Linked DNA regions of Mus musculus. The protein of the gene in region 1 interacts with the protein of each later gene in a pairwise test. Links are inferred from orthologs where the notes say so. Each region holds a gene or a part of one and is shown in the gene's direction. Other genes may lie near its edges.

Region 1 (3,563 bases):
CCTCAGCCTTCACCTCCTGAGTGTTGGGTTGCGGGCCTGTGCCGCCATGCTCAGCCAGAGTCAGTTTTCCCTTGATCTCCCTCCTGAGCCATTCAAGTCAGTGTGATAAGCAAGCCTGAGCATTTCAGAACCTTGGGCAGAAGGTCCCTGAGGGCCTTACGTGCTGATTTGTCACCTTTGAGGCACACAAGTTAGGGTGCACCTGCGTTAAACAGGCAGTACAGGTCGTAGCCAAAAGAAGACCACGTGGCACTTATAGAGCCTGACTTGGGTGTCACAGCAGAGAAGGCCACTCACTGCCCGAACCCGAGAGTCCCCAATCGCAGCCTCTCAGATCACATTTTCTCACTGGTGGGTTTTCCACCATACACATCTCCAACATCACAAGCACCATGTCACTTACGGACCTGCTGTATGCACGAGAACAAAATTCCTGCAAACTCTTACCTGTATCTCCCCCTCTTCTGCAGCTGGAGAGTTTGGGTCAAAGTGAACTGGCTTCAAGGCTAACTCTCAACTGTCAGAATTCCTATGTGGAGCCACATAAGATCCGGGACATCCCCGTCACCATCATGGATGTAAGTCTATAAATATATAGCCAAGATCATTATTTGGTGACATTAACCATGCTTCTTTCTTTCAACACACCTTGGCCTTTTCAATTCCACAGTAACCTACAAGAGTGACAGACACCCTTGTCCTAGGTGTGCTGGTGAATGCTGTGATCCCAGCACTGCAGAGGCAGAGAGGCAGGAAGATACTGAAGTTGGAGACAACCTGGTTACATAGCAAGTTCTAGGCCAGCCTAGGGATAAATAGAGTGTCCCTGCTCTCCTCCACCAGAAGTTAAAAAATACAGTCTGGAGAGTTGTTGGCTTGGTGGTGAAGAGCACTGCCTGTTCTTGCCCAGGATCCAGGTCTGTTTCCCAGCACCCATGTGGTGGTTCCCAGCCATCTGGAACTCCACCTCCATGGGATCTCAGGCCCTCCCTGGCCAAACACTCACACATAAATAAAGACAAAAAAGCATTGGGGGGGAGGGGGGCAGAACTCAGACTTTTTGTGTGCTAGGCAAGCACTCAGACACTCAGCTGTACCCCTCAAGCCTTGGGTTGGAGTATTTTATTTTCTCACCAACAGATGTCTAAATGTCTAGTGGTTTCACGTGCATATACCCACACAGAGGAACACACATGTACACAGAATTAAAAATAGAATTGTTGGTTTTGTTTGTTTTTTAAGATTCATTCTGGAAAGGTGGCTTGCTGGTTAGAGCACTGGCCATTCTTGTAGAGGCCCCAGGTTCTAGTCCAGTTGCCCACATGGCAGATCACATTGTGATCTGCGTGTGTGTGTGTGTGTGTGTGTGTGTGTGTGTGTCTTCTCAAAGGGTTTCTCTTTGTTAGTGGCTGTCTTGGAACTCTCTCTGTAGACCATACTGACCCTGAACTCAGAGATCCACCTGCCTCTACCTCCCAAGTGCTGGGAATAAAGGCGTGCGCCACCACCGCCCAGCTTCACAATCATTTTTAAGTATGGTTCAGAAGATCTGCCGTCCTTCTCTGGCCTGCATGCAGGTGGTACACAGACATATATGCAGGCAAAACACCTATGAATATCAAAATAAAAATTGAAAAAGATTCACTGGCCCCATAATGTATCTGGATATCATTATCTTAAGGCTGAATGGTGTTCTGTTATATCTTGTGGATGTCTTCATCTGTCAAATGTTTGACTATTGTGGATGTATCAGTTCACATGGGGATGAAAGGCTCTGAGTCCTTGCCTTTTTAAATCTTGTACTTTTGGGGCTGCAGAGAGTGTGCTCATTAGCCGGGAGCACACACTGCTCTAGTAGAGGACGCAGGTTCTGTTCCCAGCACCTACGTGGCTCCCCACAGCTGACCGTAATTCCAGCTGTGTCCTCTTCTGGCCTCCTCAGGTACCCACACACACATAGTGACACACACATAATTCTACTTTAAACTTTTTGAGAAATTGACATAGTGTCTTCCAGTGGCTGTATCATTTTACATTTCCCTCAGTAATGCCCAGGGTTCTGGTTCATTTAACATTCTGACATTTTGGTTTTGAGTTCAGCATTTAATGGCTGAACCATTTCTCCAGCCCCAGAACCTGTACTCAAACAAACAAACAAACAAACAAAACACAACACCAGGCATGGCGGCACATGCCTGTAATACCAGCCTTGGGGAGGTACAGACAGGCAGGTTCCTGGTTTGCTGACCTGCCAGTCGAACCTGCTTAGTGTGCTCCAGGCCATCAAGAGACCCTGTCTTCAAAAACAAATATGATATCTGAGGTTGACCTCTAGTTTCCACATATACACAAAATACACATAGGCTTATCTTTAAAATGTTTTCAAAAAATATTTTGTATGCATGCTTCAGAGAACATCTGAAAGATGTCCAAAACCATGTGTTCAGCTCTTCTCCCAGAAAGAGTCTGAACTTCCCGCCTTTAGTTTTCTTTTTAAAAAAGATTATTTTACTTTCTGTATGTGGGTGTTTTGCCCCCATGTCTGTAAGTGCATCATCTGGCTGTGGGGCCAGAAAAGGGTGTTGTATCTCCTAGAACTAGAGTTACAGACAGTTGTGGCTGCCATGTGGGTGCTGAGACCCTAACCAGGGTCCTCTGGAAGAGTAGCCAGTGCTCTTAGCTCTGAGCCATCTCTCCAGCCCCAAGATTTCATCGTTTTGAAACTGGTATTTTAGTGATTATTCACTATTATTATTTAATTAGCTACATGTGAGCGGCGAGAGACATTTGGCAGCAAAGTCTATAACCTGAGATCTTAAGCTGGAATTAGAGTTTTATTTTTTGGATGGGGATAGGGGATGGGGCCTTACACATGCTAGGCAAACATTGTGCCCCACAGCTGCATGCCCAGCCTCTTGCATTGGAGTTGGACATGACCAGGAACAGCACCAGGAAGTAATCTCTGGCTGCTCTGACACTCAGGAACGTGGGGTAACACTTTTGTACTGACCTAAGAATGCCATGAGATTTCAGCCTTGTGTGTTTTCAAAGGTGTTTGACCAGAGTGCGCTGTCAACAGAAGCCAAGGAAGAAATGTACAAACTGTACCCTAATGCGCGGAGAGCCCACCTTAAGACAGGAGGCAATTTTCCCTACCTGTGCAGGAGTGCAGAGGTCAATCTTTATGTGCAGGTGAGTCCAGCGTGGACCCCAGAACATGTGCGCTTTAGAGACCCCCCCAAGACAGTGCTCCCTAATAGTCCTCCTCTAGATCAGCAGGCCTTGCATCGTACTCTGAGGTAGTGGCCCTTAGTATGGTGTACCTTGCCTCCTGGAGACAGGGAATGCAGCCAGAGCAAGACGCCACATCTAAATGGAATACTCCAGGCCTCAGAAATGACTTCTTGATGTGATTACGTACTAATGGCAAAAATAAAACACCACCTCCTCCTCTCAAGAGATTACTAGACTGGGGTGACGAGTAGCTGCCTTGATAATCTGGCAAGAAGCATCAGGCCCCTTCCTGGTGAGCGAGCCCCATTTAATGCTCTCCGCTACTTGTG
Region 2 (4,071 bases), on another chromosome or scaffold:
AAAAGTCAAGAACTTTTCTTATTCTGCTCTTACATAAAGTATGAACGTCCAGTCAGTTTCAGCACAATAACAGATTTCCTGGAGTTTTTATAATTTAATAAACACATCCTTAGTACAAGTCTTAGTTAAGTGACTGTTTCATAGAATGCTGGTCTTTCTCAAAAGATACTTTCTAAGAACTATATTCTAAATTAAAATAAGTGTGACAGAGTTGCTTATACAGTGTGATCAAGAAAGCTGATCTTTGTGGTGGTGAACAATTCTAAACAAATGGATATATAGAGAGGTATTGTCCAAAACAACTATAAAGCAGCCACATATGTTGATTTCTGAGTAAGCAGAAAAGAGTGAGCATTAGGCGTATTAATACTTATAATCTTGGTGGAGAGCTAGCATCCACAGGCAGAAGATATAAAGTATCTACATAAATTACTTCATCAGTGCTGTAGTCGATCCCTATTTTAGATAGTTGATGAAAAAACAAATTTTAGAAATATTTCTTCCCACTTTGCTAATAAAGATGGGTCCTGCTCCCTAGGCATTTATTTGCTTGCCTTTCCCTAGACCCCACCCAGCCTTCCAAACTCAACAAATTTCTGGTGTTGATCGCTCTCTGCTCATAGTAAACAATTGACTTTGTGCTCCTTTTCAGCTATGCAGAATTTAATAAGCAAACAAGTACCTATCTGGGAAGCGCAAAGCACAGACTTCAAAGATCCTGTAATCTGATATTATTACTGTCGTTCTGTCTCGAGGACCCAAATTGGTGTTTTCATTATTTCCTATCTCCTCCATGTGACAGATTTGGTTTTTTGGCGCTCCTGACAGCTAAATTAATCTCTCTCCAAATATTAGACTGGCTCTTTGTTATATCCCGTTTAAGTCACTATGCCAAATCTTCACAGGGTCTCTAAAGTGCTTAGCTTGCTTTTCCAATGGGTTCGCTTCCTCTTCCCCACTGTCTCACAGGCTCTCCTTTCTCTTCCTTAGGTCTTTTTTTTTTTTTTTTTTTTTTAAACTCTCTTACTTATGAGGGGGTATTTAAATTCCAACCCGGAACTTGGGATCGTGCGCCTTGGATGACGGGAGTCGTAGTTTCTGTGACTTCTGGGTAACCGCCTTTCAGGCCGATCCCTGCCCTTCACGAAACCCCACAAATCCCAGAATGCACTCTGGCGGGCCCGCCCCCGGTGCGCAGGCGCCCTGGGGCCGCAGGATTTGAATCGGCGGCGTTGTTATTGACGCCATATTGGGGCCGGCGGCGGGTGGCAGAGTTGTTCCGTGGAGAAGAGAGGGTCGAGTGCATTGCTTAGCTCTGTACGGCCGGGCTACCTCGCAGCTCCCGCGCGTGGCCGCCACTCACGAGCTTCCGTCTGCACCGGCGTGTCGGAGATCGCGTCTGGGTCGCGCCACTGGCCGGGTCCACTTCCGAAGGGAGCGGGTCTCCGCGCAGGAGCCCCGGCGCGCTCAGCCCGAGCGCACGGCGGGGGCGGCCCGGCCTCTCGGGAGCGGCCCCGAGCCGGCGGCGCGACCCTCGCGCCTCGCCCGCCTGCCCTGTCGCGGCTCCGCCGTCCCGGGCCCCACACCCACCGGGCACCTCGGAGGGCCCGTTTGCCCCCGTCCTTCCCGGCCCCGCCCGAGCCGAGCCTCGGCCGCCCGCCACCATGGCGTGCGGAGCCACTCTGAAAAGGACTCTGGATTTCGACCCGCTGCTGAGCCCCGCATCTCCGAAGCGGAGGCGGTGCGCGCCTTTGTCGGCGCCGGCTTCGGCTGCCGCCTCCCCTGCCGCCGCCACCGCCGCCGCCGCCGCCTCGGCCGCGGCCGCCTCGCCGCAGAAGTATCTCCGGATGGAGCCTTCCCCCTTCGGCGACGTCTCTTCCCGGCTCACCACAGGTGGGCCTCGGCCCCGGGGCTGCCGGGGTGGGCTGCGGCCGGGAGCTTGGGTGCGGACACAAAGGGAAGGAAGGGCCTGAACCGAGGTGGGGGTGGTGTCGGCAGGTTGGGTGGGTACGAGTCGGGTTGGCCGGCATTGTGGGGGTCCCTCATTGTGAGGCAGATCATTTGGGGCTAGATCCCTAGAATCGTTTCCTTATGTAGAGCCCCAGCGGAAATGATCAGAGAGGGTGATATTATTCATAAGTCAGGCGAGAGAAGGGTCACATTTCACCCGAATCTCCGGGTCTCTTGGGCTGAATCGATTGGTTGCAGCTATTAACTCAGTGACTGAGTGGTTTGAGGCGAGAAGGCAGCCCCTCCTCCATTTTAGACTTGGCTGGTTTTAGTATAGAAGGGGTGGGGTTTGGAGGGGGATGGATGTCACTGGGGCGAGTTGTAGGCCTGTCATTAATCACCCACAAGAACGCCACTTTGGCTGAGTCAAGACCTGTTTCCCTAGCAGGGTCAACAACAAAGCAAATGTTCTTCCCGAGTACTGTAATGTGATCTCACTATGCGTCCAGTCCTTAAGAGATCCTGAACTTTTAATGAAAAGGAAGGTGTACTTCAAATTGAGACTGACTAGTTTATTTGTAAATGCTTTAGTTATCCCAATGAAGTATGTTGGGAGAAAACAACCTAGCCTCGAGAGTAACGAATAAATCAAGATTCCAGTGGACTTCAGACTTGAAGTCTTGAAACATTTTCTCAAAGTGTCTGCCGGATGGACCTTTGATTGCTTTTGTATACTAAATGTGTACCTAGGGATTTTTTTTCCCCCTCTGCATTTGGAAATCTTTGTGTGCCTTCGGCACAATCTTAGGGTAAACTTTAATGGACTTGAAGTGTAAGTCTGTTTCTTTTGTGTGTGGCATGCAAGAGTGTGTGAGCCTGTGTGTGTAAGCCCTTAGTGATATCATCCTTAAAGCCTTTGCTTAGCTTAAATTTTTTTTTTCTCAGTAATTCATTTTAAAAAGATGGGAACTATAGAGTTCTGTATTTGGTAACATCTATATGAAATTGACTGTACCATGTGTGTTTTTTTAAATGTCACATTTAAATATTCATACCCAAATCCATGGAGAACCTCAGTTACCTAGTCTGGCTCTTAAATTTTTGATATAACGTAGCCAAAAGCTGTTTTATGAGTTGCAGTCACTTTTCGTAGAAATTCCAAGACGTTTATTTAAGGATCATACCTAAGCTGCCCTCCCCCACATATGTGTATAAAGGCACTCCTGACCGAGTTGTTAGAGGAATGGCTCTCAATCTGTGGGCCGCGACCCCCGGGGGAACGCTCCGATATTTGCATTATGATTTATAACAGTAGCAAAATTACATTATGAAGTAGCAACAATAATCATAGGGTTGGGATCATCACTGCATGAGGTACTGTGCTAAAGGGTGGGCTTATCAGGAGCGCTGAGAACCCCCTGCTTTAGTCATTACTGTAAAACAAGGGAACAAAGTGGAGAATGGATTCCTTTTTTTTTTTTTTTTTTTTTTTTTTTGGTTTTTCGAGACAGGGTTTCTCTGTGTAGCCCTGGCTATCCTGAAACTCACTTTGCAGACCAGGCTGCCCTTGAACTCAGAAATCCACCTGTCTCTGCCTCCCAAGTGCTGGGATTAAAGGCGGGCGCCACCTCCGCCGGGCTGGAGAATGAATTCTTGGGGCAGACATTTTTTGTTTTTAATGAAATGCTAAATTTGAACATTGAAATGGTGTCCTATCTACTAATGGAGCCATTTTAAAATAGCTGTAACTAGCAATAAATTTCATTGGAGCTAGTGATAAGTTTGAGAGTTACAATATATCCCTATGCAGTTAAAATAATCTTGAATACTAACACAGCAGGGAGCTATGACACGTTTCTTTACTTAAGGGAGGTTGTTCAGAAACGGTAATGATCTCCCAGTCTGCCATGTCAGTGCTGTAGTGCAGAGTGTTTAAGAGTCTCCACATCTCAATCAGTATACTGTAAAATAACTGGGAGTATTTTTAGTCTTTTAGCCAGCTGATCTAGTTTGACCACATCTTGAAACCTAAAATCAAATCAGCTGGGTGGTGGTGGGGCACGCCTTTAATCCCAGCACTTGGGAGGCAGAGACAGGCGGATTTCTGAGTTCCAGGCCAGC
Region 3 (4,014 bases), on another chromosome or scaffold:
GAAGCTCTGGGAAATCGCACTTTCTCATGATTTTAACCTAGTAGCCTAAAAACTAAAATTATGAAATGTTAGACTCATGACTAACACTTACAATAGTCTCTGGGATGATCTGTAATGTCTTTGCAGTAGAAAAACACTGTACAACACGAGAGCACAGCTGGCCATGCCCATCCAGGAGTCACTCGAATACTAACCCCAAACTGGCCGGACAGGATCCGGGGAGCCTGCAGAGGGCAGTATTGCTTTCACACAAGAAAGACCTCTAAGGTTCCTTGGAGGCTGCAGCTGAGAGGTTGCTTTGGGGTGCACTTGTCTGTCTTGAGGCAAGCAGGCCAAAAGCAAAACTTCCTTTTTCCTTGTCCTTTTATATAGGCTGCTACCAGGACGCGTGACCCAGATTTAGGGCGGGTCTTCCAGTCTCAAAAGACCCAATCAAGAAAATCGCTCACAAGCACTACCCAGCTAGCTGGGGTTTTAGCTGATTCCAGACGCAGTCAAAATGACAACCAAGATTAACCATCACCTATGAGCTAAACTATGGTGTTAACCTTTAGAATTAACACACATAATCCCCACTTTATTTCTGTTGACGCTATAGATCTTACAGACCCTTCCTCTTCCTCTCCCTGGCCTGGAACCCAGCCCTCTGGACTTTAGGCTACTGCTGTCCCAGCCTAGAATACTTTCCTCCCCTCCCCCAACCCCTTAAGATACCTCTTGAAACCTGCTCTTTGGCTTTTGCTTTGTTCACAGGTACTGACTGCTTCTGTGCTCAGTTCCTCGTTACCTCCCTCTCTAGGGACTCAGGGAAGCAAGCCGATCTGTGCTATTCGCTAACTTAAGGCCCTCGAGCAGAAAATCCCTAAGGTGCCCAGCTAACAGGAAAAGTACAGGTCACCAAGCAGGTAAACTCTCTCCACTTGAAATCAGAACCGCATCTCAGTAAATACTAGTTACAACAATCATTTCAAAAAGTACAAACAGGTGAAACTCTTTACCCCTCTATTCCGCTCCACCCTTGAGAGGCCTGAACCTGGGATCCGGGTTCCCGCCAAACTTCCGATCCTGCAAGAATAGAAGGGCGACCTGCCACCGTAGGGAAACTTCCTCTGAGCGCCCACCGCCGAGCGTGCGAACTACTCACCGGGTGATGGCTCTGAGAGATGGCAGAGCAAGACAGGCGGCGGCTCTGCGGAGAACAAGGAGGGACCTTCTGGGGAATCGAAACTGAAACTTTGCCTCTCGGGTCTTTAGGGCAGGGCTCGCCTTTGCTCTTCCCTGTCTGTGCAGCGCCCCTGAGCCCCAAACGAGCCAGACGCGGATAGCCATGGCTTCCAGTCCCGACCCGCCGTCCCCGCTACTCGTACGGCTGCGGGAGTCCATCCCCAAGGCGCACAGGAAGCTCGAGATATACTTCCAGAGCCGGGCCTCGGGAGGTGGGGAGTGCTCTGTCCAGCCCGTGGGCCCCAGCGCCCCGGACACCTACGAGGTGAAGTTCCTAAAAAAAGCAGGTGAGCCGGGGCAGGGGAAACAGGGCAAGGCTCGGGTGCAAGGGTAGAACCAGCAGGTTTCCAAACCGATCCCTGCATGCTTCCGACGAGAGCCCACGCGAGTGTGGCTCTCTGTCTGTGGGAGAGTGCGGTCCACAGACTCCCTCCATCCCACAGTGGCGGAGAGAGCCTCGTATGAGTCCAGCCGCTGATGAGGTCGCGGTTCGACTCCATCTGAGAATTTCCCAGCAGACCCAGTTGAGAGAAGAAACAAAGTGTGGGGGTTGGGATTGAGGAGGAAATCCAGAACCTTGTGCACGCTAGGCAAGTGCTCCACCACCGATCTCGACTCCAAGCCATTTTAATGTTGTAAATAAAGATTCCGTTGACTTATTTTTAAGGACTACAAAAGTAATATATGACTTTAAAGAGGAAAGTCAAAGAAAAATTATCTGAAGATAGTTTGGTGGGGTTTGGTTTGGTTTTGGTTTTGGTTTTTGGTGTGTGTGTGTGTGTGTGTGTGTGTGTGTGTGTGTGTGTGTGTGTGTTTGGTTGATTTTAGAGACAGGGTTATTCCTTGTATCCTTGTCTGTCCTGGAACTAGCTCCATAGGCTGACCTCAAACTCGCAGAGATCCTCCTTCCTCTACTGGGATTAAAGGCAGGTGGTGCCACACTAATGTCCTCAATGGGGGCATTTTCATGCATTCTTTTCTGAGAGTCAGCAAATGAATATACATTCTAAACTTTTTGATCTTGTTTCTTTTGGGGGGCCGGGGGTTTCACCATTTAACTATACAATAACCATTATTCAATGTCATTGAAATGAGAGATTCAAAACCATTACAAAACATAGGTTTCCCCACCACCACCCCTTTGAGACAGGATCTTGCCATGTGCCATTGGTTGGCCTTGAACTCATAATACCCCTACCCCTACCACTACCATTTAAGTGCTAGATTGTGAGTGTGTACCAGCATGCCCAGACTAGAAATGTGATTTCTAATAACCAAATTATATTCCTATGCTAAAACTTAAGCTCCCTTCTTTAGAGTTCTGATTAGCTTCTCCTATCACCAGCCTGCTATTCCAGAATGCCAGAAATAACTGTTCAGGTCCTCTGTATGCATTTGACCAGGAGCCTACAACAGATACCACCAAGGGCCAACTTGGTGAACCAATGCATTACTTATTGCATTGGTATTGGTTATTGGATTTACTTACAGGAATATGGGAAACGACTCAAAGGCAACTGCATCACCAAAGCCCACCTAGCATGGGTGACAGCTCACAAAGCTGGGAACCTGGAGCTCACTGCACACCTACAGGCAGCTCAATAGGTTAGGGAGTGTTCTTTCCAGGTGGCTCAGTTGGTCTAAACTTCCTCCTAAGTGGAGCTTAGAGTTCACTTCCTGCAGGCAGCTTCTCTGGTGGTTTAAGTTTTCTTCACAGCTTGTTTTGTCTAAGAGTCTCCTATGCAGACCTTTAATGAGTCCTCACAGCAGCTCTGTTCTGGGAGTCTCAGGAGGACTCTTCCCAACAGTCTCTATTGTTTATTCATTCAGGGAGGGGCCTATGAGTCTGGTCAGTTTCTGGGATTTCCTGAAGCTATTTTGAGTTGTTTACCTTCTTGCTTAAGGAACTTCTTTGCAGGGTGGAATGTTTCAGTCTTGAGAAAATTTACACAACAGTCCCATACCCTATGGTTTATTCAAATAAAGTCTATGGAAGGCGAACCAATGCATTTATAGTAGTGGCACATGCCTTTAATTGTAGCACTCTGGAGGCAGGGGCAGGCAGATCTCTGTGAGTTCAAGGCCACCCTGGTCTACACCAGGAGTTTCAGGACAGCCAGGACTACCTAAGGTCTCAAAAACAAAAAATAAAACAAAACAAAAAAATGAACAACTAAAAAGCATATGTGAGAACATGGGTAGCTTATGTGAAAGTCCTAAGCTTATTAGGGACATCTCTGGAGGTAGCATGCTCAGACGTTTCTAGAATCAACCTACAGGGATACTGAGGATCAGCTATGTAAATTCTCTCTTATTTCTGTGTGAATGTGTATGTTTAATGTCTCCCCTGAAGATAAGGAGAAAGTGTTGAAAAAGAGCGAACACGAGATGTTGGTCCATAACAAACCTGTGACCATTGTCCTGGAAACTACTAAAAAGCCAGTAGAGGACCTGAGACCCAGACTCCCATCCTTGACACAGCCAGTGGAGACACCAAGCTCCAGACCTCCGTCCTTGACGGGGTCTCTGGATGAAGCACTTTGTGATGACATACATCCCCAGGACGGGCTCGTTTCTAACTCTGTTGACTCAGTTGTCCAAAAGGTGAGTGTTGACAGAGGAGCTGATGCTGCCCTGGCATCTGCTCCTCCCTTCCCCTCGGTGTTTTCGGGCAGCCTTGTGCACCCCGGACTGTACAGGGAGGAATGAAGCTTAGTTGGTACAGGTGGATTAGCAAGATCTCAGCCAGCCTGAGTTAGGGAGAAACAGCCTTCTCTGGACATGGTTTTC

What was found.
Region 2: the proteins of Spg21 (region 1) and Akirin2 interact in binary tests that used the Homo sapiens proteins (3 or more experiments, as listed by UniProt). The two-hybrid records come from large-scale screens. The link is inferred for Mus musculus from reciprocal best matches to the Homo sapiens genes SPG21 and AKIRIN2.
Region 3: the proteins of Spg21 (region 1) and Dtx3l interact in binary tests that used the Homo sapiens proteins (3 or more experiments, as listed by UniProt). The two-hybrid records come from large-scale screens. The link is inferred for Mus musculus from reciprocal best matches to the Homo sapiens genes SPG21 and DTX3L.

The regions. Positions count from the first base shown.
Region 1 is NC_000075.6:65,481,391-65,484,953, forward strand, and holds part of Spg21 (maspardin), read left to right. Parts: intron 1-470; coding exon 471-578; intron 579-3,051; coding exon 3,052-3,192; intron 3,193-3,563. UniProt on the Homo sapiens protein: May play a role as a negative regulatory factor in CD4-dependent T-cell activation.
Region 2 is NC_000070.6:34,549,381-34,553,451, forward strand, and holds the start of Akirin2 (akirin-2), read left to right. Parts: upstream 1-1,234; 5' UTR 1,235-1,664; coding exon 1,665-1,893; intron 1,894-4,071. UniProt on the Homo sapiens protein: Molecular adapter that acts as a bridge between a variety of multiprotein complexes, and which is involved in embryonic development, immunity, myogenesis and brain development.
Region 3 is NC_000082.6:35,936,191-35,940,204, reverse strand, and holds the start of Dtx3l (E3 ubiquitin-protein ligase DTX3L), read left to right. Parts: upstream 1-1,177; 5' UTR 1,178-1,327; coding exon 1,328-1,511; exon of another isoform or gene 1,512-1,735; intron 1,736-3,577; coding exon 3,578-3,828; intron 3,829-4,014.